Rhinolophus ferrumequinum: one gene and its partners. The protein of the gene in region 3 interacts with the protein of the main gene of each other region in a biochemical or structural test. Links are inferred from orthologs where the notes say so. Each region holds a gene or a part of one and is shown on either strand. Other genes may lie near its edges. The genes, in order: UXT, PINK1 and FBXO7.

The links.
Region 1: of the proteins of FBXO7 (region 3) and UXT, one has a biochemical effect on the other in vitro, tested with the Homo sapiens proteins (2 studies listed by BioGRID). The link is inferred for Rhinolophus ferrumequinum from reciprocal best matches to the Homo sapiens genes FBXO7 and UXT.
Region 2: the proteins of FBXO7 (region 3) and PINK1 form a complex in vitro, tested with the Homo sapiens proteins (2 studies listed by BioGRID, with this or other methods). The link is inferred for Rhinolophus ferrumequinum from reciprocal best matches to the Homo sapiens genes FBXO7 and PINK1.

Annotation. Positions count from the first base shown.
Region 1 is NC_046284.1:86,243,417-86,251,318, reverse strand, and holds the start of UXT (protein UXT), read right to left. Parts: upstream 3,052-7,902; 5' UTR 3,037-3,051; intron 1-3,036. UniProt on the Homo sapiens protein: Involved in gene transcription regulation. Acts in concert with the corepressor URI1 to regulate androgen receptor AR-mediated transcription. Together with URI1, associates with chromatin to the NKX3-1 promoter region.
Region 2 is NC_046292.1:13,915,639-13,922,595, reverse strand, and holds the start of PINK1 (serine/threonine-protein kinase PINK1, mitochondrial), read right to left. Parts: upstream 3,078-6,957; 5' UTR 3,034-3,077; coding exon 2,638-3,033; intron 1-2,637. UniProt on the Homo sapiens protein: Serine/threonine-protein kinase which acts as a sensor of mitochondrial damage and protects against mitochondrial dysfunction during cellular stress.
Region 3 is NC_046293.1:13,034,728-13,042,027, forward strand, and holds the start of FBXO7 (F-box only protein 7), read right to left. Parts: upstream 3,069-7,300; 5' UTR 2,148-3,068; coding exon 2,026-2,147; intron 1,922-2,025; exon of another isoform or gene 1,833-1,921; coding exon of another isoform or gene 1,796-1,832; intron 1-1,795. UniProt on the Homo sapiens protein: Substrate recognition component of a SCF (SKP1-CUL1-F-box protein) E3 ubiquitin-protein ligase complex which mediates the ubiquitination and subsequent proteasomal degradation of target proteins and plays a role in several biological processes such as cell cycle, cell proliferation, or maintenance of chromosome stability.

The DNA of each region.
Region 1 (7,902 bases), on a different chromosome or scaffold from region 3:
TCCATGCTCCTAACTCCAAAGGCTGCCGGTTCGATTCCCACATGGGCCAGTGTGCTCTCAACCACAATGTTGCCATTCAATGTTGCCAGTTCAATTTCTTGAGTCCTGCAAGGGATGGTGGGCTCCGCCCCCTGCAACTAAAATTGAAAACGGCACCTTGAACTGAGCTGCTGCTGAGCTCCCAGATGGCTCAGTTGGTTGGAACGCACCCTCTCAACCACAAGGTTGCCCGTTCGACTCCCACAAGGGATGGTGAGCTGAGCCCCCTGCAACTAGCAACAGCAACTGGACCTGGAGCTGAGCTGCACCCTCCACAACTAAGATTGAAAGGACAACTTGACTTGGAAAAAAGTCCTGGAAGTACACTGTTCCCCAATAAAGTCCTGTACCCCTTCCCCAATAAAAAAAAAAAATCTTTAAAAAAATCTTAAAAAAAATACATATATAGTTCTAATACAAAGAAGCAGTTATCTGCAGATTATTTTGTCTTATAGATGCAAAGATCTTAAATAAAATATTAGCAATTTGAATCCAGCTAGTATGAAAATAAAAATTTATCCCAAGACCAAATTGGGTTTTCCAGTAAGACAAAGGTGGTTAATGTTAGTACAATTATCAATTTATGTATTACATCAACAAATTATGGAGAAAAACAACACAATTGTATCGATGTATATGAAAAAAGAGGTATTTGACACAATTCAGCAGTAATTCTCAAATGAAAACAAGGCTAGAAAGAAACTATGAAAATTCAGCCAAGATCATAGTCTGGAGATAATCAGGAAGCATAACATTAGAAGGTAAAATGCTGAAGACGTTTCCATTAAAACTAGCAACAACATTGGGTTGCTCCCCTCACAACAGTGTTTTCAAAGCTCTAGCTAATGACATTAAATATGAAGATGAAATAAACTGGCTAAATACTGAGAAGGGGGAGAAAATCATTTTTATTTGCTGGTGACATCATTGTATAGTCAGAAACCTAGCACAGGGAATTTTGATAAGGTGGTAGGGTACAAGAAAATAAATACAGCAGATTGAAACAGAAAAGGGAAAAAATATCCTATTTCCAATAAGGACAATAAACACAGAATACCTAAAAATGAACACAAGAACGATGCTCGACTTAAAATAAGAAAACTAATAGTTATTCTATAATATAACGCAAAATGTAAGTACATGGAGAGACAGACCATATCCCTGGATAGGAATATAGTAAAAACAAAAATATCACTGCTTCGATGTTAACTCTATTGAAGTAATGAAGTGTCCATCAGAATTCCAATTCTTTTTCAACTTGGTAAAACAATTTCAAACTCTATATGGAAGTATAAATAGCCAAGAAGATTATGTAAGGGAATACTGAGAGGGTGCTGGGACTAGCAGATATTAAGCTAACAATGAAAACTAATGCAATCAAAACAGGGATAAATAGGCTAGTGAAATATAAGAAAATGTCCAGAAATTGATCTTAATATGTATGGGAATAGATATGACACTAGTAATACTCAATGAGGGAGACCAGGAAAGTTTATCATGTAAAAGCCAAGGGAGAGAGGAGGAATGCACAAAGGATATGAAAATGCACAGAAGGAATCCAAACGCCCAATTAACTGGAAAAGATGCTCAACCTCACTTAATAGGTGGAAAAAGTAAAACAGAAAAACTATATATAATTATTCAGCCCTCAAATGATAAAAAATGAAAAAGAACAACATCATCCAGTGCTGGAGAGGATTTGGGAAAATGGGTTATTTATACATTTCTGGTGGAATATTTATTATACATTCATGTATATATACACATATATGTATTATATGTATTATATGCATTATATGCATACATGTAATATATATATAACATTTTTGAGAGTCATTAGCAATGTCTATTTAAAAAAATATGCACACTGAGGGTTGCTAGATGGGAGGGGGGGTGGGGATAAGAGGGAAGGTGAGGGGATTAGAAAGTACCATCAGTAACCATAAGATTGCCACGGGGATACGAAAGTCAATTTGGGGAATGTAATCAATAATGTTGTAAAGATTTTGTAGGGTATCCGATGGACACTTGTCTCATTAGGGAGACCACCTCAGGGATGATGTAGATGCCTGATCACTGCACTGTACACCTGAAACTGAAGCTAAACAATAATGAATGTCAACTACAATTTTATATATATATATATATATATATATATATATATATATATATATATATATATTTACAAGAGAGCAGAGTACAGCATTAGGAACAGAGACAGTGGAAATGTCATGGCTGTGTGCGATGTCAGAGGGTTAGTTGATGGGGGAGGGAGGTTGTCACTGTGTGGGATATAAATGATAAATTTCTAACTATTACTTTGTTTTATGCACCTGAAACTAATAAAAATAAATTAATTAATTAATGATAAAAATATGCACATCTGTACCTAATAATAAGGTTCAAGTACAACAAAAGTTGACACAAGCAAAGAGAAATGCACAAATCACCATCACGCTGCTCTATACAGAACGAGTAAGTGAAAAAAAAATCAGAGAGCGTATACAAATTTTGAACACAATTCACAGTTGGAGAACACATTCTTTTTTTTTTTTTCTTTTGAGAACACATTCTTTTGACGCGATAGATGGAGCATTCATGGAAAGATACAAAGGACTTTGCCACTCGGCAAGTCTCCACAGATTTCAAGGAATGTTCATGACACAATTCACTTATCTGACCACTGAGAAATCAGATTAGAAATCAATATCAGTAGTACTGTTTATTGCAAACAGAAATGCGCTTCAAAATGACACGTGTGAAATGAAAAAATCTTAACTGAAATTTAAAAATACTTAGACATGAGAAATAACGATAATACAATACAACATATCTTTTGGGTCTTAGATGGAAATGTATGGTCCTAATGCTTTAATTAGAAAAAGAAAGGCTGACTAATAATTAGCTGAGCATCCGATATAAAAGACCCCATCACTGAAACCACAGAAGTCCCACCATCGACCCAGATCCTGGCCCCCATCACTCAGCCCACAGTACCTGGGTAGCCAACCACTTCAAAATTACCGCAGCACGGCTCAGGCGCTAGCACCTGGGTCCTGAGAAACGCTTCCCTTTCGAGTTCTGACCTCTAACGCCAGGGTGTCTACCTGGCGGGAGACTGGGTGTCTGATGCGCACGCTCAAAAGTACCTGCGAAGTTGAGTTGCGCAATCATCAGGGCGCAGTCACCGGCGTCTGCCATAGTTCTCTTGCCATCCGCTGCTTTTTTGAGATCGGAATATGGCTGCACCCAAGCGGCGCTGCTCTGTGGGCACTGCCATCTTGGACAGGTGTGCCAGCCGTACAGTGGAAGAAGCCGTTGCCTCCTGCCTCACGCTGCAGAACAGTGGGGCTGCCCTGAGAAGAGGTAGCCTGCCCTTCTTTGGGTAAATTTCCTGGTGGACAGGCATTTTTGGAGTTAGGCTCTGGAACTCAACTTCTAGAGCCTAATTCCAAAAAAATATACACACCTGTACCTAATAACAAGGCACAGGGTTGAGGGGGAGCCCTTACTATGAAAAGAGGAAGAGTAGAGTCTGGGAGATACCACTGGAGGAGAGGGGAGAAATGTCACGATGGAACCTCCCCCCCACTTGGGCGATACTATGGAGTGTTCTTGAAGGGATGCTGTAGGAGCGGTAAGGTCCGGGTCCTGGGAGATACCATGAGGAGAGAGGGCACAGAAGTAGGAGTGGTAGCGTCCAGTCCCACTGAGCTGAGGCAGGGGAATGAGGACCTAAACCTGCCCATAATCTCAATCAGCCCCCACAGTAGCCAGGTCGACCCAACTGAAGTGATAACAGGTATCAATAAAAATAAGGGGGGGGGGTGATAGAAGGGAGTAAAGGAGGTCAACTATATGGTGATAGAATGAGAACTGACTCGGTGGTGAGCACACAATGTGATATATAGATGACGTATTATAGAATTGTACACTTGAAACCTATGTAATTTTACTAACCATTGTCAACCAATAAATGTAATTAAAAAATAAATTAAAAAAATAAAAATACGTTTTAAATTGATAGGGCCAATGGTTGTTTTCTCTAATGTAATGTGTCACTAAAAGCATCTTCTAGGATACTTTATTATTTATAGTTCCTTGTAAAGTAAAATCTAAGTAACGATTATGCAAATACTGCATTAGGACAAATTTCCAACTCTGCCCCACAACGAGTTTGCTGCTCCTTAGCACCTCAAATATGGAAATTATGGAGATGCCATTGCCCCTCTGGAAGATGTCACAGGAACAATCCAGTGTATCCCTTCAATGGATGAACTGCTACATAATCTTAAAACCCAGCCCACACACCTCCAATGTGAAGCCCTCGTTGACTGATAGGAGAGTCCATGCCAGCTGAAGGCCCCTCTGACCCAGCAGGTGATGAAAGATTCTTGAAAGGACCTGGTCCTGAGTTCTGGTGTCCTCTATCTTTGTGCCCTTAGACCAATCACAGGCTTTTGGGCCTCAGTTCAACATTCTGGACAGTAGAGGGCTGGACTCTGATTACCGAACAGTCCTCTGACTCTCCCACAGCCTTGGATTGGATAATTTTTTGTTGAGTGAACAAATAAAAGAAGAAATTGAATCTGTGGAAGCTTGCTAGCACACATTCATGTCTAAAAACATTTCCAGCATTATCGTTAATTTTGTTGGGTTGATGATGGTACTGTGGTTATATTAAAAGAAGAAGGAGGAGAGAAAGAAATAGAAAAGGGAAGAAAAGCACCTTCATATGTTAGAGATTTATACCTAAGTATATGGGTGAAATGATATGAAGCCTGTCCAGGATGCAGGACAATCAGTGGTAGAGTATAAATGGATAACGGGAGACACTGATCTTCCCATTTAAAGTGGCAGTCCCCCAGAATTTCCAATTTATGTCACTGCCCTATCCACCCTCCTTCAGCAGTTATCCCCTTTTAACAAATATTGTTTATTAGCTCTCCTCCACTAGGATGCCGGGTCCACAAGTTAGAGGTTTGGGGGCTCTTTTGTTTTACTAAACATTAAGTACCAAGGGCATTGACTGGTGATCAATAAATATTTGATGAAGGAACAAATAGAGTCTTATATACTTATAAGTTCTTCATCTATTTAGCATTTCCTGAATTACTGATGCCAAATCAATTTTATAATTAGTTGTGTCATCCAGAGATGGATGCTTGCCGAGTCTTTTGGAGGGAATTACTAATCTTTTAGGAAAATGAATCCTGTGTGTGTGTGTGTGTGTGTGTGTGTGTGCGTGTTTTGACGCTCTCTGTAAGTGTGGTAAAGATACCAAAAACAAAGCAGTTGATTACTCCACATATGTGAGAAGCAGAAATCATTGTATTATCAGCACGAACAAACAAATGAGTAAACAGTAAATAAATAAGATAATTTCTGATAAAAAGGAAGGCTATGAAGAAAACTAAGGCATGGCAAGGCGCTACAGTGGTGGGGTAGGTCAGGGAAGAAAGACATGTGAAGAAAAGACATTTGAACAGATATGTGAGTGGCATGATGGAGTGAGCCATGGAACCAGAACATATGAGGTGTGATAAAAAACTATGGTGAATGTTTAAATAAAATGTATTACAGTAAGAGACACATTGCAATTAATCCCCCTCAAAATATTCCCTCTCACTTCGAACACACTTATCCCATCATTCTTGCCACTTTCTGAAGCGGTTCTGGAAGTCTGTCGTATCTTTAGTTGTGCTGCCGTGGCTTCCTTGATACCCTGAATTGATTCAAAAACGTTTACCTTTCATGGTCATTTTGACTTTGGGGAAGAGCCAGATCATGGTCAGTGCAACATAACCATAAACTAATTTTAACATTTTGTGTGTTTCTTTAGCACTTTTTTTGCAGTTTGAAACAAAATTCCATGCGTTGTTCATGATCAATGATTTACGGCACACTTTAAAACACACCTCTCAACTGTAGCTCATACCCCACTGACTGCACCGAACAAGTTGAAACTTGTCACACACTGTTACTAAGGTTTGACGCGCCACTTCTGGTATTGAAGATCGCTGCCTTTTTGTTGGATGGCACTTGGCAGCAGCATTCACCGTATTGTTTGATCATACCTCGTATATGGCAGGGGCCTCAGTAAATGTCAAGACCATAAAGCTCTTGTCTCCCTGCTCATCCTACCACTAGGTGGCATTTCTGGTCTGTGACTAAAGATTTCCTTGCCCCATTCAAGGAAAGGACAACACTTTTCTCCGTACAGACTTTCTCTTCTTATATTAAGATATTTATGTGACAAACGGTTGAATTTTCCCAATTAATTGAAATATTTAGTTAGTTTTAATAATATAATTAGCACGTATGCACCTATCACCTAAAAGAAAAGGCCTTGACAATAGCCTCCATCTATTCGTGTGGTCCCCCAATTCATTGCCCTGCCTCCCCTCAACTGAGGTAAACATCATTCTGAATCCCAAGTTCATTAATTTTTAAATTTCCTTTTTATATAATTTTATTTCCTCTACACAAAATACTAAGTAGTGCATGTTCTTTATACTAATAACGTTTAATTTTATAGAAGTGTGTATGCTTTATATAATCTTTCAGGAATTACAGGATTTTTCCCCTTAATGCTCATCCATATTGTTCTAGTTCATTCATTTTAACTCCTGTTGATGAGCATACATTTTTGTTTCCAGGTTTTGCTGTTGTGAACAGGATGCCATGCATACACTAGGTTTCATGTGCAAGTGTTCCTCTTGGATATATTCCTAAGAGTGGACTGGCCAGATTGTAAGGTATATAAATATTCACTGTACGAGGGAATGCCAAATATTTTCTAAAGTGGTTTCACTGATTTACATTCCTTAAACAGGGCAGAAAGATCCCGTGGGTGCACACCCTCTCCAATACTTGGTATTGTCAGACTTAAATTTTTGCAAATTGAATGGGTGTAAAATGTCACAACATGTCTTGATTTGCATTTCTTGGATCACTAATGGCTTTGAACATCTCTTCATATATTTATTGGCTCTGCCTTCCCTTCTTTTCTGAAATGGTCTAAAAGATAGACCTATCTTTTTTTTTTTAAACATAACCTAGTAGTTTTATGACACTCAACAACAGTAACAATGATTCCTGGCACTCTATTAGAAGTGTATGCATGCCAAGTGTGCTTCCACTGATTCCATTTCTTCTTTCATGTGTTTATTCAACAAACACCCAGAGCAGGGCTATAGGGTTAGAAAGAGAATCTGGGATAATTACAGACCAACACTCTAAGAAAGCAAAAATTAGCTCGGACTGTAAAAACCTGCCCTGCCATTCATCAGACTGGGAGAACAGATATAAAGCCAGATACAAAATTAACAGGAAACATTATTTCTCCTAAGGACATGCTGCAACTGTAATGCCATAAAGAACTCCTACTATGAGTGACTACTGCTCTCTTAGTTACTGAGAAACTTTGTTCTCTACAATTACAGACTACTATCAGAAACTGCTGTCTGAAATGTACTAATGAGGCATCCCACTGTTGCTGGAGATTCTAAGCCACTTAGGTCAAAAAGAAGCAGCCATGATTTCCAACACTGGTGCAGAGATAAGGGGTATCTAGCTACAATATTCTACATCTATCTTAACTTTATTGTTTCCAAGGAAGCAGGACTCTGGGTTCACTTTGCAGTACACATATAGCCTGGTTTGCTTTGAGCTTATCAAAACACTGCTTTATTTACATTTCATCTGAACTTCACCATTCCTCAGAATCATATAACTCTAAACTCTATCTTTTCCTTTGTTTACTGAGCCACCCCATGTTCCTCTGGTGTGTGGTCTCCCTTATTGACGGATGAATCTGTCAAACTACAAATTAGTCCCAGATGGTCTTAGCCTGATTGGAGC
Region 2 (6,957 bases), on a different chromosome or scaffold from region 3:
CAATCCACCTGCAGAAGGACGGTTCAGTTGTGTATACTATTTTGCTGTTATGAATGATGCTATGATTTCTGTACAGGGTTTTAAACCATTTTTTAAGAACTGTGGTAAAATATACATAACATAAAACTGACCATTAAAACCATTTTTAAGTGCACAGTTCAGTGGCATTAAGTACATTCACATTGTTGTACAACCATCACCACCATCCAGCTCCAGAACATTTTTCATCTTGCAAATCTCAAATTCAATACCCATTAACCCGTAACTCCCCAGCCCTTCTCCTTCCAGCTCCTGGCGGCCCCCATTTTACTTTATGTCTCTATGCATTTGACAACTCTAAGTACCGCAGATGAGCGGAAGCCTGAGACTGTGTCTTTTTGTGTCTGGCTTATTTCACTTAGCATATTGTCCCCAAGGTTCATCCATGTTGTAGCATATGTCGGAATTTCCTTCCTTTTTAAGGTGAATATTACATTGTATGTATATTCCACATTTGCTTATTTATCCATCCATTGATGCACACGTGGGTTGCTTCCACCTTCTGACTATTCTGAATAATGCTGCTATGAACACAGGTGTACAAATACCTGTTCAAATCCCTGCTCTCAATTCTTTGGGGTGTACGCCCAGAAGTGAAATTGCTGGATCATATGATAATTTCATTTTTAATTTCTGGGGGAACTACCACACTGTTTTAGATAGCAGCAAGTTGTGTACAGGTTTTTGTGTGAATACAAGTTTTTATTTCTCTGGGTAAACGCCCAAGACTGCAATGGCTGGGTCATATGGTACTGCATGTTTAATTTTGTAAAAATCTGCTCATTATTTTCCAGAGTTGTTGTACCATTTTATATTCTCACCAGCAGTCCAGTTTCTCTGCATCTTCACCAGCATTTGGTATTATCACTATTTTTTTTTTTAAATTTTAGCTGTCCTAATAAGTATGCAGTGATATCACATTGTGTTTTCAATCTGCATTTCCCTAATGGCATTCCCTGATGCTGAATATCTTTTCATATACTTATTTGGCATCTGTATCTCCTCTTGGTGAAATACACACTCATGTCTTTTGCCTATTTTATAACTGGATTGTTGTTTTTTTTTTCCCCACATGCCTCCATCTAAAAGGAGTAGCCTTTCTTTTACTTTGTCTGGTCTGACACCATATGGAATTTTAGCATTAGAGTTGCCAGCGCTGGTGATTATTTTCAAAAGTGGAACACCTGAATTTTTAATATTAATCATCAACTAATTAAACATTTTAAGACACAGTAGGGTAAAATGTAAGAAAAGGATGTACAGATAATAAGCTCAGAAGGACCAAGCTCCTCAGTTAAAAAAAAAAAAAAGCCTCCATAATTCTAAGCAGGATTATCAAATTTCCCACCTTTGGCTTCTGCCAGTTAAGCTGTAGCAAAAGACAAGGACAGTGGCTGGGGACTAGGTCAGATGTCACCTGTCGTCCCAAACTAGCCTGAGCTCAAACATGAGACATTCTGGCTGAGTAACAAGAACTGGGCTGGAAACCAGGAAACATGCTTGGTCCTTAACCAGAGGTGTCCTTGGGCAAGTGACTCCATCTTCCACCACCTCAGCCCTAAATTGTCAATTGTAGGGGTTGTACTAACAGTGGCTCCAAACCCCAGGAAGAAGGCTGAACTCCCAAAAAGAGGAGAGAATTCTGCCAGCATGTGGCTTTCACACTTGAACTACAACAATGGCTCTTCCCTGGGTCTCCATCCTGCCTACCTACCCAAACGATTTTTGGGAGACTTGCCAGCCTCCAGAATTGCAGAGCCAACTCCTTAAAATAAACCTCTTTTTCTATAAACACATCCTATTGGTTCTGTATCTCTAGAGAACGCTGACTAATACAGATTTTGGTAGAGGAGAAACAGAGAGAGGTCTCTGGGCTATTTTAAGCATTTAAAAGAGCCTAATAACATATTCACTCTCTCCTAATAACGCTCACAGGTTGACTAAAAACTGTTAGGTGTGCTATTTTCTCCTGCTGTTCATGGTTTTACTTTGATTTCAGCTGTGTCACTAATTGTTTGGCTAAACTGTGGAGGCAGACTGGCTCAGTGGTTAAGGGTACAGGCCTTGGAGAGTCAGACTTTGGGCACTGCTCTTTATTAGCTGTGTGACTTCGGGCAAGTTACTTCACCTCTCTGAGTACGTTTCCTCATCCATAAATTGGGGATGACCACTACCTCAGGGATAGAAGCGTTGTGACTTGTCATTAAATTTTACAAAATTTACGCAGAGTCATTAGCAATGGTGCAACAGGAGCTGTAATTAGCAGCATTATCTTCCAAAACGTGCTGTTTGAGGAAGGGAAGACAGTAAAACAAATGGGAGGTGCTGGCCCCATACCAGGAGATCAGTTAACACCGAAAATGAGCCTTAATCGGTGATTTGCAAGGAATTTCCGGGTCTGACAAGGATAAATATTGATCCAGGGCCCCCGTCAGTCAATGCCCCCAGCCCCGCCCCTCGCCACGCCCACACCCTAGCACCGCCCCTCACAACGCTCAAGCCCCGGCTCACATCCCCAGCCCCGTCCCCCATCGACTTAAAGTCCCGCTCCTAGCGTGACACTGGGCTCCATCCTCGCTGTCCGCGGCCAGTGCTCACCTGGATCTCCTGACAGGCCGAGGCCGCCCGCCGGCCCTCCGCCTGCTTCTCCTCGACGAGGCCCAGCCCCAGCCCGAAGGCCAGAAAGACGGCCCGGCCGCAAGGGCCCGCGCCGCCCCGGGCCCGCACCACGAACTGCCGCTGGAGCCGCGCCGCCAGCCCGGCCACCGACTGGCGGAAGAAGCGGTAGCGGTCGGGGAGCCCGAGCCCGAGCCTGTGCGGCTCCGCGCCGGGTCCCGCGGCCTGGCCCGGGCGCTCTCCGCGGCCCCAGGCCGCCGCGGGGCCCGGCCGCTCTGGCCGCCCCCAGCCGTAGACCGGGCCAGGCTTGGCCGTGAAACGCAGCAGCAGCGCCCGACCCAGCTGCAGGCCCCGACCCAGCGCCTGTCGCACCGCCATAGTAGCGCCGCGACCAAGTGCACCAGCAGCCGCAGGCGTCGGGGACGCCGGTCACAACAAGAAACTTTGGGGCGGTGCCTCTGCGCAGGCGCGGAGGCCGATGGGCGGGGTCGCCGATCTGGCGGTTCCCTGGCTGGGCGCGCGGGGGCGCTGTGCGCGCACCTGGCTGCGGGTAGTTGCTTGCCCTTTTGCACTTTGGACCCAGGGTGGAGGGGTTGCGTGTCAGGCAGGTCCAGATTGTGAACAGTCGAGAAGTTGAGAAGGAAAACTAATGTTTATTGAGTATCACCCGTGGTGCCAGAGTCTTTACAACTGTTAATTTATTTAATATTCCCACCAAGAAGATAGGAATATCATTTTTATAGGTAAGGAAACTGACTCATAGAAAGGGCAGTGACAATCAGGTGACATTCAAGTTCATTTGCCATAACTATTGAGTCCTTACTCTCCCCAATGCCTTTAAGCTCCTCTCTACAAACGCACAGCCCCTGCTCACTTCTTAGTACTCCAAGAGAAATCCCACCCAAAGGCGACATTTTTCAGATGAACGACATTTTTCAGATGAGTGAGCTGAATTCCGGAGACATGGAAGGATTTGCCCAGTCACAGCTTGTTGGTGGCAGAGCCCTGTTACCCAAACCCACTGTTAGAAATGCTGATGAAAGGATTTATAATGAGTGATTTCTTTTTTTCTTGCCTTTTTAAAAAAAATTTTTATTGGGGAATATTGGGGAACAGTGTGTTTCTCCAGGGCCCATCAGCTTCAAATAGTTGTCCTTTAATCTAGTTGTGGAGGACACAGCCCAGCTCCAAGTCCAGTCGCGGTTTTTAATCTTAGTTGCAGGGGGCGCAGCCCACCATCCCATGCGGGAATTGAACTGGCAACCTTGTTGTTAAGAGCTCACGCTCTAACCAACTGAGCCATCCAGCCGCCCGTTTCTTGCCTTTTTTTAAAAACGGAAAATTTCAAACACAAAAATAGTATAGTGAACCCTATGTACACATTCACCTGCTTCAACAAATTATCAACAAACGGTCATTAGTTTATTTATCTATACTGTTAAAGAAAAGAAAAAACAGGTCCCACATGGTATCACTGATGCTAAAAGCCCATGATACCAAACCCATATTTAATACCAGATCTAATTGCAGTTTCGACTTCTCCCAGAAACATAATCAACCAATATGGAATTTTCTGGTCAAGCCCCAATAAGGTAACATACTTGTAAGCCCTCTCCATTGGGACAATCTACATAATAAAACCCTTCACTTTCCCACAGAAAAGATGTCCCTGTCACAAAATAATCCTTTTCTTCCATTATTAGCTTCCTTGCCCCACTCCGCTTCCTGTAAAAATTTTCCATTTTATACAACTCTTGGGAGCACTCTCTTCTAGTTACTGGAGGGGATGTTGCCTGATTCATGAATCACTTAATAAAGTCAATTAGATCTTCAGATTTACTTGGTTGAATTTTGTTTTTTAACAATACCTTTCTACTACCCCCCCTTACTTTAAAGCAAATCCCAGATGTATTATTTCATTTATAAACATTTCGGTATCTACGAGCACCTAAAAGATAAGAACTATTTTTAAAAATCATAAACAGTGTCACCTCTAAAAGATTAACATTAATTCCATAATATTAGTTACTATCCTGTTGATATTCAGTTTCACATCTCTTGCTTCCTCTTTAAATACTAAATCGAAGTACATGTAGATGGTAGCTGTTGCTGGAGGAAGTCTTCGATCATCTGAAGAGTTCTGGCCCCCCAGGCTTGCTTGGTCATATGGTGGATCCCTGGCTAGGGACAGGTGGACAACTGATTCAACAGTGTATGTGTATGTGTTCTGATTGCTCTCATGGGGAGAAATTGCAGGGCCCTTGTGATATCCAATGACATTTATTTGGGAGAGACATAAATAGATAAATAAATCAATTTCTTTCCAATTTATTTACAGATATGGACAAAAAAGAGGGCACACACTAAACCTGACGAGCTCAGGGGAGGCCAGCATGGCAGGCCTTACAAACTCAAAGACTGAAAGTAACTACACAGGATGGGCTGAATATAAAAATTCCTAATAAAAGCTAGGCATGATGGGTAGTCATGTCCTATGCCTGTAGTTTCCTTGACAAAAAGGTCAATCTTTACCTTAAGTGAGCCTGTCTATTGTCTTTTTGCACCTAAGATAACGAGCCCTTGGAATGTCAGTGTACTCTCCTTTTCCAGACCCCTCAGACCAGAGCAAGAGACCCACAGAACACCTCACTGTTATCTTGTTCCCCGAATACCATCTCTATGTGCTATAACTGTTCATTATGAACTATCCTGTACCCACCAATGTAAAAGAAGTATGTCTCTCTGTTTTACTTTTTATCCAATCCCAGAGACTTCCCTGCTTTGCTTTCTCCCGCCCCCTTAATCTACCACCAATGGATTTCATGTAACCCTCTTTACGTCTCCTCCTTTGATTCTAATGTATAAAATAAAGCTGCAAAACTGCCATTCTCCAGAGCATTTTCTCAATCCGTTGAGATTTTGCTTCCTGGCAATTGTTGTCAGTTTGGCCCAAATAAACTCATAAAAATTCTCTACAGATTTGGACGTTTCATATGTTGACACAGAGGCACGTGGAAATCAGATATTGTCTTTAATTTTTTTTTGGTTGATCTCAGGGAATTTTAAATTACAGTTTAAAATGCTCTGTTGAAATTGTCCTTTAGAGAAAGATATGAAAGAGAGGATCAGAGAAACTTCACTGTCTAGAAAGAAATTCAGTTGGGGCAAAGGACTCGTTTAAAGTTTAAGTCTATTCATCTGCTATGTGTCATTATCAGTACAGCACTTTAGTGTTTACTGAGAGGGAACAAGAGATCTTCTAAGACCTTTAGTTTTAACTACGAGAATTTTCTTTCCTAGGAATGTAACATTTTGCCATGAGGCTAGAGATAACTACATAGCTGGTACTGTAAGGGTGAAACTTGGGAATCAATAACACAGATTTATCTAGTTTGCAGTTTGGATCTCCTCATAGTTCGCTATTTAGCCTCCTGATATTCAGCTGTTTTCTCTTTGGTTTTTGCCCTCACTGCCTGATTTAATAACTCTGCTCTGTTCCCTTTCTGAAGACTATACATACCTTGTTGATCTAATTAATCAGCAGAACATTAACCTGGAAAGAACAATTTCTCAATTTTCTGCCGCCTGGACACCGGGATCCATGGTTGCAACTCCCTTGCAATTTTTGCTGATGATGCACGAAACACTCCAGCCCCGGCTACTGATTTCGAGATAATATTATGAAGCAGACCAGTCCATGGGAGGCGATTTCTCAGACCAGGCCCTGGGAGGCAATTTCTCAACTGTCAGCCCTGAAACATTTACATGACCAACTCCCACTTTTCTTTGTTCTTTCCCCCACCCGCCTGCTTGATTATAAAACCTCTTGATTATTCTCAGTTCCGAAAAGGTGTTTTTTTTTCTGGACGTTTGTCTGCCTTCTTCGCTAGCTGCCGGCATCTAGAATAAAGTACGCTTTTCTTCTCATCAACCGTTGTCATTCAGGTTCTTGGTGTTGACAAGCAGTGCCGGGCCTGAGTCTGGTAATAGTAAGACATATTACCTAAAGGGACATTGTATTAGTTGTTTTAAGTTCAAGAGTGCATTGGTTATCAACCTTTGGATTTAGTCCTCTAAGCTGCAAATACACTTGCCAGACCTGTGATGCTTAACCCACCCACCTGTGGAAATCAAATCTCCAGACCATTGTAGGCTGTGTAGTTTCTTGTTCAACAGAGAATGCTGGACTTTGGTCAAGATGGCACTAGACTGGTTCACTTCTTCTGTAGAAAACTCTAAGTTGTTTGGACAGATCTGAACCAAGCACAGCATGAAGCTGGATTCTTCAGCAGCCATCTGGCT
Region 3 (7,300 bases):
GTGCTGAAAAAAATTCAGTTTTTTCTTTCACCTATAAAGACATTTTTTCTTACCAATTAGAGTGTCTTTGGTTGAAAAATTACTGAGGTTTTAGAAACTATTCCTGCTTATTAGAAAATAAGTAGCTACATGCTCCTATTTTCAAACGCTTTGATAAATGTTGAAATCTGCCAGCTGCCCAGAAAAATACCACCCCAACTTTGGTAGAAAAAAAGAGAAACACCTCAAATGAACTACGTGTTTATGGATCATTTGTCACAGCAAAAGGTTGTGTTTTTTTTAATACAACGTTCATTCAAATATCTATTTATAGAAAAAGTAAAGAATTGTCTGCTTAATAAAAATGTCAAGCCTTCCTCCCTATAGAAAAAGGGAAGAGCTATTTCTAAAATAATACATGGTTTTCCAGGAGAGGCTTTAAAAAAAAGTTTTCTGAAATTGTGGGGGAAAAAAAGAAAAAGAAACTTGTTCATCAGGAAATAAAATATTTTTTAAAATATTTTACGGCAACCCCAGATCTACTTGCTCAGCAAAGACATTTTAAAAATAATGTCACATGGACATTTTAAAACTGACCATTTATCATAAAATGAACATACTTCAGAAGAGTGAATTTCCTTTCACAAGCTGAAGTTTATATTCTTTCCAGTTAACCACCCTCAATGGTAAAAACAAACCTGAAAGAGAAACTAACTGGGGCCCTTGGGTAAACAAAGCGTCATTGGGTTTCACATGCTTTCGAGCCTAATTAAATAACAAAATATATACACATGTAGATTAAAATACCTTAAAAAGAGAAGTTAATTCTGAAAAATTGTGGAAGGGTAGTGATGCCAGCATGCAAAACAACTTAGGTTTAACACCAAGGAATAACAATAGGTATGTCACTTAATATAATGTTTAAAGGGGTTATGTCAATACCGCATTTTGTTTTTATTTCTCGTAATTTGGAAAAAAAAATGAGGCTTATTTTTAATGTAATAATGCCTTAATCTGAAAAATGAATGGGTGAGAAGTTCATAATATGGCTCATTTTATTGAATTTCCTAAAAATAAAATTTTAGTTTGTAAAAGTCTTATAAAAAGAGCCACTTAAATAACAAAGGTTTTCTTGTGAAGAATTCACCTAAAAAACCCCAGCGAACATCTTTTTTATTCTTTCCTTAGTACAAAATTCCAAATTTCTAGCTCCGTATTTGAAGAGGGCCACCGTTACTTTTGCCCCTCTATTCCCAGAATATTGTCCCCAGAAAATACCCTGTGGAAACAAAGCAGCCTCATCTGCAGCCCCATAAATGAATAACAGAATTTGATCCTTTACTTCTTAATGTCACTGCTCCCAAACTGCAAACTCTCCAGAGTCATCATAAGGCCTGCGTTTGCCTTAGTTTTAGCTAAAAGCAGCATCTCGCCCAGGATAATCATATGATTTGAGACACGCCGACGCGCCGCACTTTGTAAAACTTTGCGGCGGGTAAGTCAAAGTGGGCACCGCGGCGCCTGGCACGTAAACGTTCAATGGAGTCTTAAGATTACTGCAGCCTCACAGCGGCGGCACAAGTTTCAGATGGCCTCGGAGGGAGGGCCGATTGCGAACTCCTCCTAATACTTCCCAAACTTTTCAACTAACTACCCCATCAGCTGGAGTTGGTGAATTTAAACCCCTGAGAGCCTGGAAAGGTTTAACCCAAACCAAATCCATAATTTCCAACTTTACATTGGAAAGGGCGGAACGGTGTCGCGTGCTAGCCTACTCCTGGGTTCTGTTACTGCCAGAACGGAAGCGACGGCTCACCCTGGAGGGGCACGGAGCCCCCGCGACGCTGGGCCATGTTCTCCGCGAGCCGGGACCCCAGCGCCGCTCTCCGCCCGGTCTGTGTGCGTCACAGTCCCGGGGCGTCAGACCCGCGACGCGGCGGCCACTGCCCGCCGCACGTGACGGCCAGGCCCGCGCCCGCCGGCACGCCTCCCGCAGCCCGAGGCGCGCCAGCGCCTCTCCGCCGTGCGCCCGCCGCAGCCGCTTACCTGTACCCCCAGGTGGGCAGCAGGGCCTCGCTCAAGTGCTCACGCAGCTGCCCCAGCGTGGGCTCCGTTTCGGGCATCTCCAGCGGCCAGGTCTGCTTCTGAAGCCGCACCCGCAGCTTCATGGCGGCGGCGGCGGCGGGGCCCAAGGGCCTGGACCCGGAGGTGGCGACGGTGACGGCGGCGCGGCCGGACAGCTCCCGTCTCAAGCGGCGGCGGCGCCGAAACGGCGACTACCGGTGCTGGAGGGGTGCTGAGGGGTAACGGGGAGAAGGCCCCGCCGCGGCGGCCGCGCTGCGGGCGGGTCTCTTGAAGCGGAGCACTCGGCCCCTCTCCTGAGGGCGCCCTCTGGAGCTCACCCCGCGAGCGGGCGGCTGGCGTCCTGCCCGGAGCCAGGGTGCTCGGGAACTTGACGATCGATGACTCGGCGCTCAACGGCGCCACCTGGGAGCTCGAGGAGCGCGCTGCGCAGGCGCCGAGCCTGCCGCGGGCTGCGGGTGTCACGCGAGGTTCTTGCACGCCTTGGCTGTGCCCATGCCTTCCAGGTGTACCTGGAGAATGGTAGCGCTGAGAGGGATGCTGCAGACGACACACCTCGCCTCTCCGCCAGGTTAAGGTGTGCCTGGTTCTTAGCCCAGTTCTGCCGCGGCGCTCAGTTCCTGCGGCATCTGCTCTGAGAAGCCTAAGGTTGAGTTCAGGCTCTGGTCATTTGCTCCTGTTACAGCAAAATGTGAACCAGCTTGTGATCAGTGATCTACGTGTGTCGGAGAGTGTGTTAGTATCCTGTTGCCGCATAGCAATCGCCCCAAAGCTTAACAGCTGAAAACCACATGTGTTTACTGCCCCATAGTTTTTACAGGTGAGGAATTTGGGCCTGGCTTAGCAGGGTGGTTCTGACTTGGCCTCATGAGATTACAGTCAAGATGTAGGCCAAGTTTGCAGTCATCTGAAGTGTTGAGTGGGACTGGAGCATCTACTCCCAAGATGGCTCACTCACGACTGTTGGCAGGAGAGGTTAGTTATTCACCGCATGGACCTCCGTGTAAGGCCACTTGAGTGTCCCCATGACATAGCATCTGGCTTCCCTCAGAGCAAGTGACCCCAGAGAGACTACGGCAGAAGCCACAACGTCTTTTATGATCTAGCCTCAGAGGTCACATACCATCATTTCTGTCATATTCTACTGATCACAAACCAAGCCTTCAGTGTGGGAGGATCAACCCTAAGGCATGAATCCCAGTCAATAGTCAGGGATCACAGGGTGCCATCTGGGAGGCTGGCTACCATATAGGACCTGACAATAATGACGACGATGATAGCTTAGGTGAGGGGAAAAGTATCCAAAATTTATCCCTGTATTGTCCAAATCTTAAGAGTTGAATAAAGTTTCTCCCAATAGGTGGCGGTACTTGCCCACATCCTGATTCATTAAAGAAATGTATTGATCACCTTTGTGCCAGATATTATCCCAGGTGCTGGGGACTCAAAGATTGAAAAGACATGTTCCTACTGGTACAGTTTACAATTGAGTGAATCAACTCTTGCAGTAGAGTGTAATAAGTGTCTTTGTTTATGAAAGAGAGAAGAGAAAGTCCTAGGGATTAAAAGATATTGAGGAGCTTTGCTGTGCCAGTAGGGTTCTTTAGTGGCAAACAATATGGGATTGAGGAAAGGGGGCAGGATCAGGGTGTCTCGGTGTGGCCAGGGTAAAGGACAGAGTGAGTACATCCCCAGATACAAAATAGCCTTGGACTAAGCGAAGGATTTGGGACACATTCTAGAATGTATGGGAAGCTATTGGAGAGTTTTAAGTAGGGGCGTCTTTATCTAGCAGGGGTCTTAGTTCTAAGCAATAGAAGTTAAACCGGTCACTAAGCCAGAAAAGAGCATGTTAAAATGATACCAGATAGCTCAGGAAATTCCGGGGAGGACTGGAGAAGTGGCTCCAGGCTAAGCTTCCAGGAATGAAGCTCAGAACCATGCTGAAGAACTGGCCTGATGAGGAAATTACCATGACTGGGATCGCTGCTGCCACCCCACCCCACCCCGCACTGGAGGAAACTGCTGCCATTGCTATCACCCCTGGGGAATGGCTGCCACCTTCAAATGCCACACACTTTTGCAGCCTCCTGCACCAACAAAATGCCAAGTTTCCAAAAGAGCCTTTTTCCTCAGCTTACTCACTTCTAAATCAAAGGTTCATAGGGCTACATCTGATTGAGAAAGACCAAGTCCCATGCCTGAGTCCTGGCTGCAAAGGAGACTGGAAATTGAGGCCCAAACTACTTTCCTGGGGAAGTGGAACGTAAAATATTGGAATTTCCCAAAATATAAGAAGGCTGTTCAAAAGATGGTAGGAAGCCATGCGTCTGACAGGTGTACACTACAAGGAGCATGGGTCAGATCTGAAACGTGAACCTATCACGGATAGAGTGTGGAGGACATATTAGATCAAGATTTCTCAGTACTACTGGCATTTGAGGCCTCATAAGTTTTTGTCATGGAGGATTATTCTGCACCTTGTAGGATGTTTAGCAGTATCGCTGGTCTCTATTCACAAAATGCCTGTAGAACCCCCATCGCCCAGTTGTGAGAAGCAAAGATGTCTCTAAACTTTGCCAAATATCCCCTAGGAGGCAAAATTGCCTTGAGAACCACTGGATTAGAGACCAGCTCAGTTAGGAGGCTCTTTTGGAAACAGAAAAAGAAAGAAATGAGTGGAATGACAGTGGGAACGGAGAGAATGGGAGGGACAGGAATGATGTTACAGAGGTAGAAATAATAGAACTTGAAAATGACTATGTTTTGAGGTTGTATTAGTTAGAATGCAGCTTCGGTGCTCTCACAGAGATCTGAAATAATAGTGACCTAAACAAATGTAAGTTTATTTCTCTCTGAAATAACATTCTTGGAGAAAGCAGTACAAGGTTGACATGGTGGCCCTCTTTGGAGACCGTCTACCACAGTCCACCTCTTAATACTATGCAAACCTGGATAAGTTACTATCTATAAAAATGAAAAAGTAACAAAAATATTTTAGACAGCTGTGTTGGAAAGCTTCAGTGAGATAAGCCACTACGTTTGTGGTCATTTGTTCCAACAATAGAAAACGAATCCACCTGGGATCATTGTCTCAATCCTTTGCCCAGTAGACTGTAAACACCGGGATCGCAGAAGTAATCCAATCACAGGAGAGCAGGAAGATCCTAGAAGGGAGCCAGAGCATTCCCAAGAAACTGCCAGGATTTAAGGTACTCTGGAGGACTAGCCTCCAAAACTTCAAAAGTCCATGAACATGTTACACACCCCTTCTCTCAACCGTCTCCCTCCTTGAGATTTTTTTTTTCTTTTTTGCAGGATGTCATCTTAATGTCTGCAAGCAACAGGCACTACAACTTTCAAAGAGCTCAGAAGTTTAAATTCCTTTTTTTAACAGACCGTTTCATAGAATACCACAAAAGGACAATATCAATGTTCTGTGGGCCTCCATTCATTGGCTCCCTGGATGCTTTTTAGAACAGTTTTTGAGTTAAAGAATTATTGTGAAGACATATACCACATACCCAATTTTCCCTATTATTAACAGATTAGTATGGTACATTTGTCATAATCAAGGAACCAATATTAACATATTTTTATTAACTGAAGTCCATATTTTGTTCAGATTGCCTTAGTTTTTAACCTAATGTCCCTTTTCTGTTCTGGGATCCTATCAAGGATACCACATTACATTTAATTGTCATGTTTCTTTAGGCTCCTCTTGGTTGTGACAGTTTCTTAGATTTTCCTTGTATTTTATGACCTTGACAGTTTTAAGGATTCATGTTCAGGTAGTTTGTAAAATGGTCCTCAATTGGGATGTGTCTGATATTTTCTCATGATGTGGCTGAGGGAATGAGCTCCTGGGAGGACATCCATTGTAGTAAAGAGCTGTTCCGATCACATCATATCAACAGTACATACTATCAATGTGGCTTCTCACTGTTGGTGAGAACCCCGACCACTTGGCTTCTCCACTGTAAAGTTACTCCTTTTTTCTCCTTTTCATATCGTACCCATTGGAAATATTGGAAAATAGCCACTATGTGCAGCCCACACATGAAGAGTAGGAGTTATGCTCCATCTCCTTAGGGGTGAAGCCTCTACATAAGTGATTTGAATTTCTTCAGCACAAGAGATTTATCTATTCTCTATTTATTCAATCATTGTTTATATCATTTTTAATTGGGTTGTTTGTTTTCTTAGCTTGAGTTTCCTTTAGTTTTCTGGATAGAAGTCAGTTTCGGCGCTTGACAAAAACCCTTCATAATCCAGCTGGAAACCACTTTCTTTAATCTGCCCAGTGACCCTTACAGTCTGTTTGCACTGCACTACTTCAGAATGCCTCCCCCTCCCCCTTGTATCTTCTCCCACCAAGTGGATTTGCATGCCTCTGAGCTTGTGCAGTGCCAACCCTTCTATCTGGAACCCCTTTCCTTTCCTTTTTCTAAGCAGAGTGTGTTTCTCCTTCCTTTTGCTCCAAGAGCACTGGGAACATACTTTTCCATGTTGCCCATCAATCACTGTGCAATTATTTGTACACCAGGTTTTCTTGAATCCTAGATTATGAGTTTCTCAAGGGGAAAGGGCGGGTCTCAATCTATCTTCAACAACCCTCAACCCCCACGTCCAGTGTCAGGACTGGTAAAGCAAGATTTAAAGTGATACATTCATGCTTGTCTCTGAGTTCTTAATATATCTGTTTGGAAAAGTAAGACCCTCCTTCTGTCTCTACCAGGGAAAGTCAGGTTGGCCTTAGTTTGGGTGTTCTCTTACAAATCCAATTCATTTTTTTGATTCTGAGCTTGTATCTACATACCAACAGTTTATAGTCTTTAATCTTAGAATCACCTGGAGAGCATTTTAAAAGAGAGATTGCTCAGTCCTACTTCCAGAGTTTCTAATTTAACAGGCTTGAGAATTTGCATTTTAATGATTTCTAGGTAATGCTACTGTGAAACCTTTGGAAACCACTTGTCTATACCATGTTGTCTTGCTGTGGTTATTCGGGGCTTTTTTTGTTGTTGTTTTTTTTAACACTGATAAAAAGACTTTGAGGTACCTATGCTTGGTGATAAATTGAAATGGGCTTTCAAAAATGTTGTGACTTGAAATTAGAACCATAACTTAGAAAGAGAATCTTCAGAAGTTGTTGAAGTGATTAAAATCCAATCCATGGACCAAATGAAGATATCTGGAACCTATTTGAAGAAATAAATAAAACTATTCTTGGAAAGCA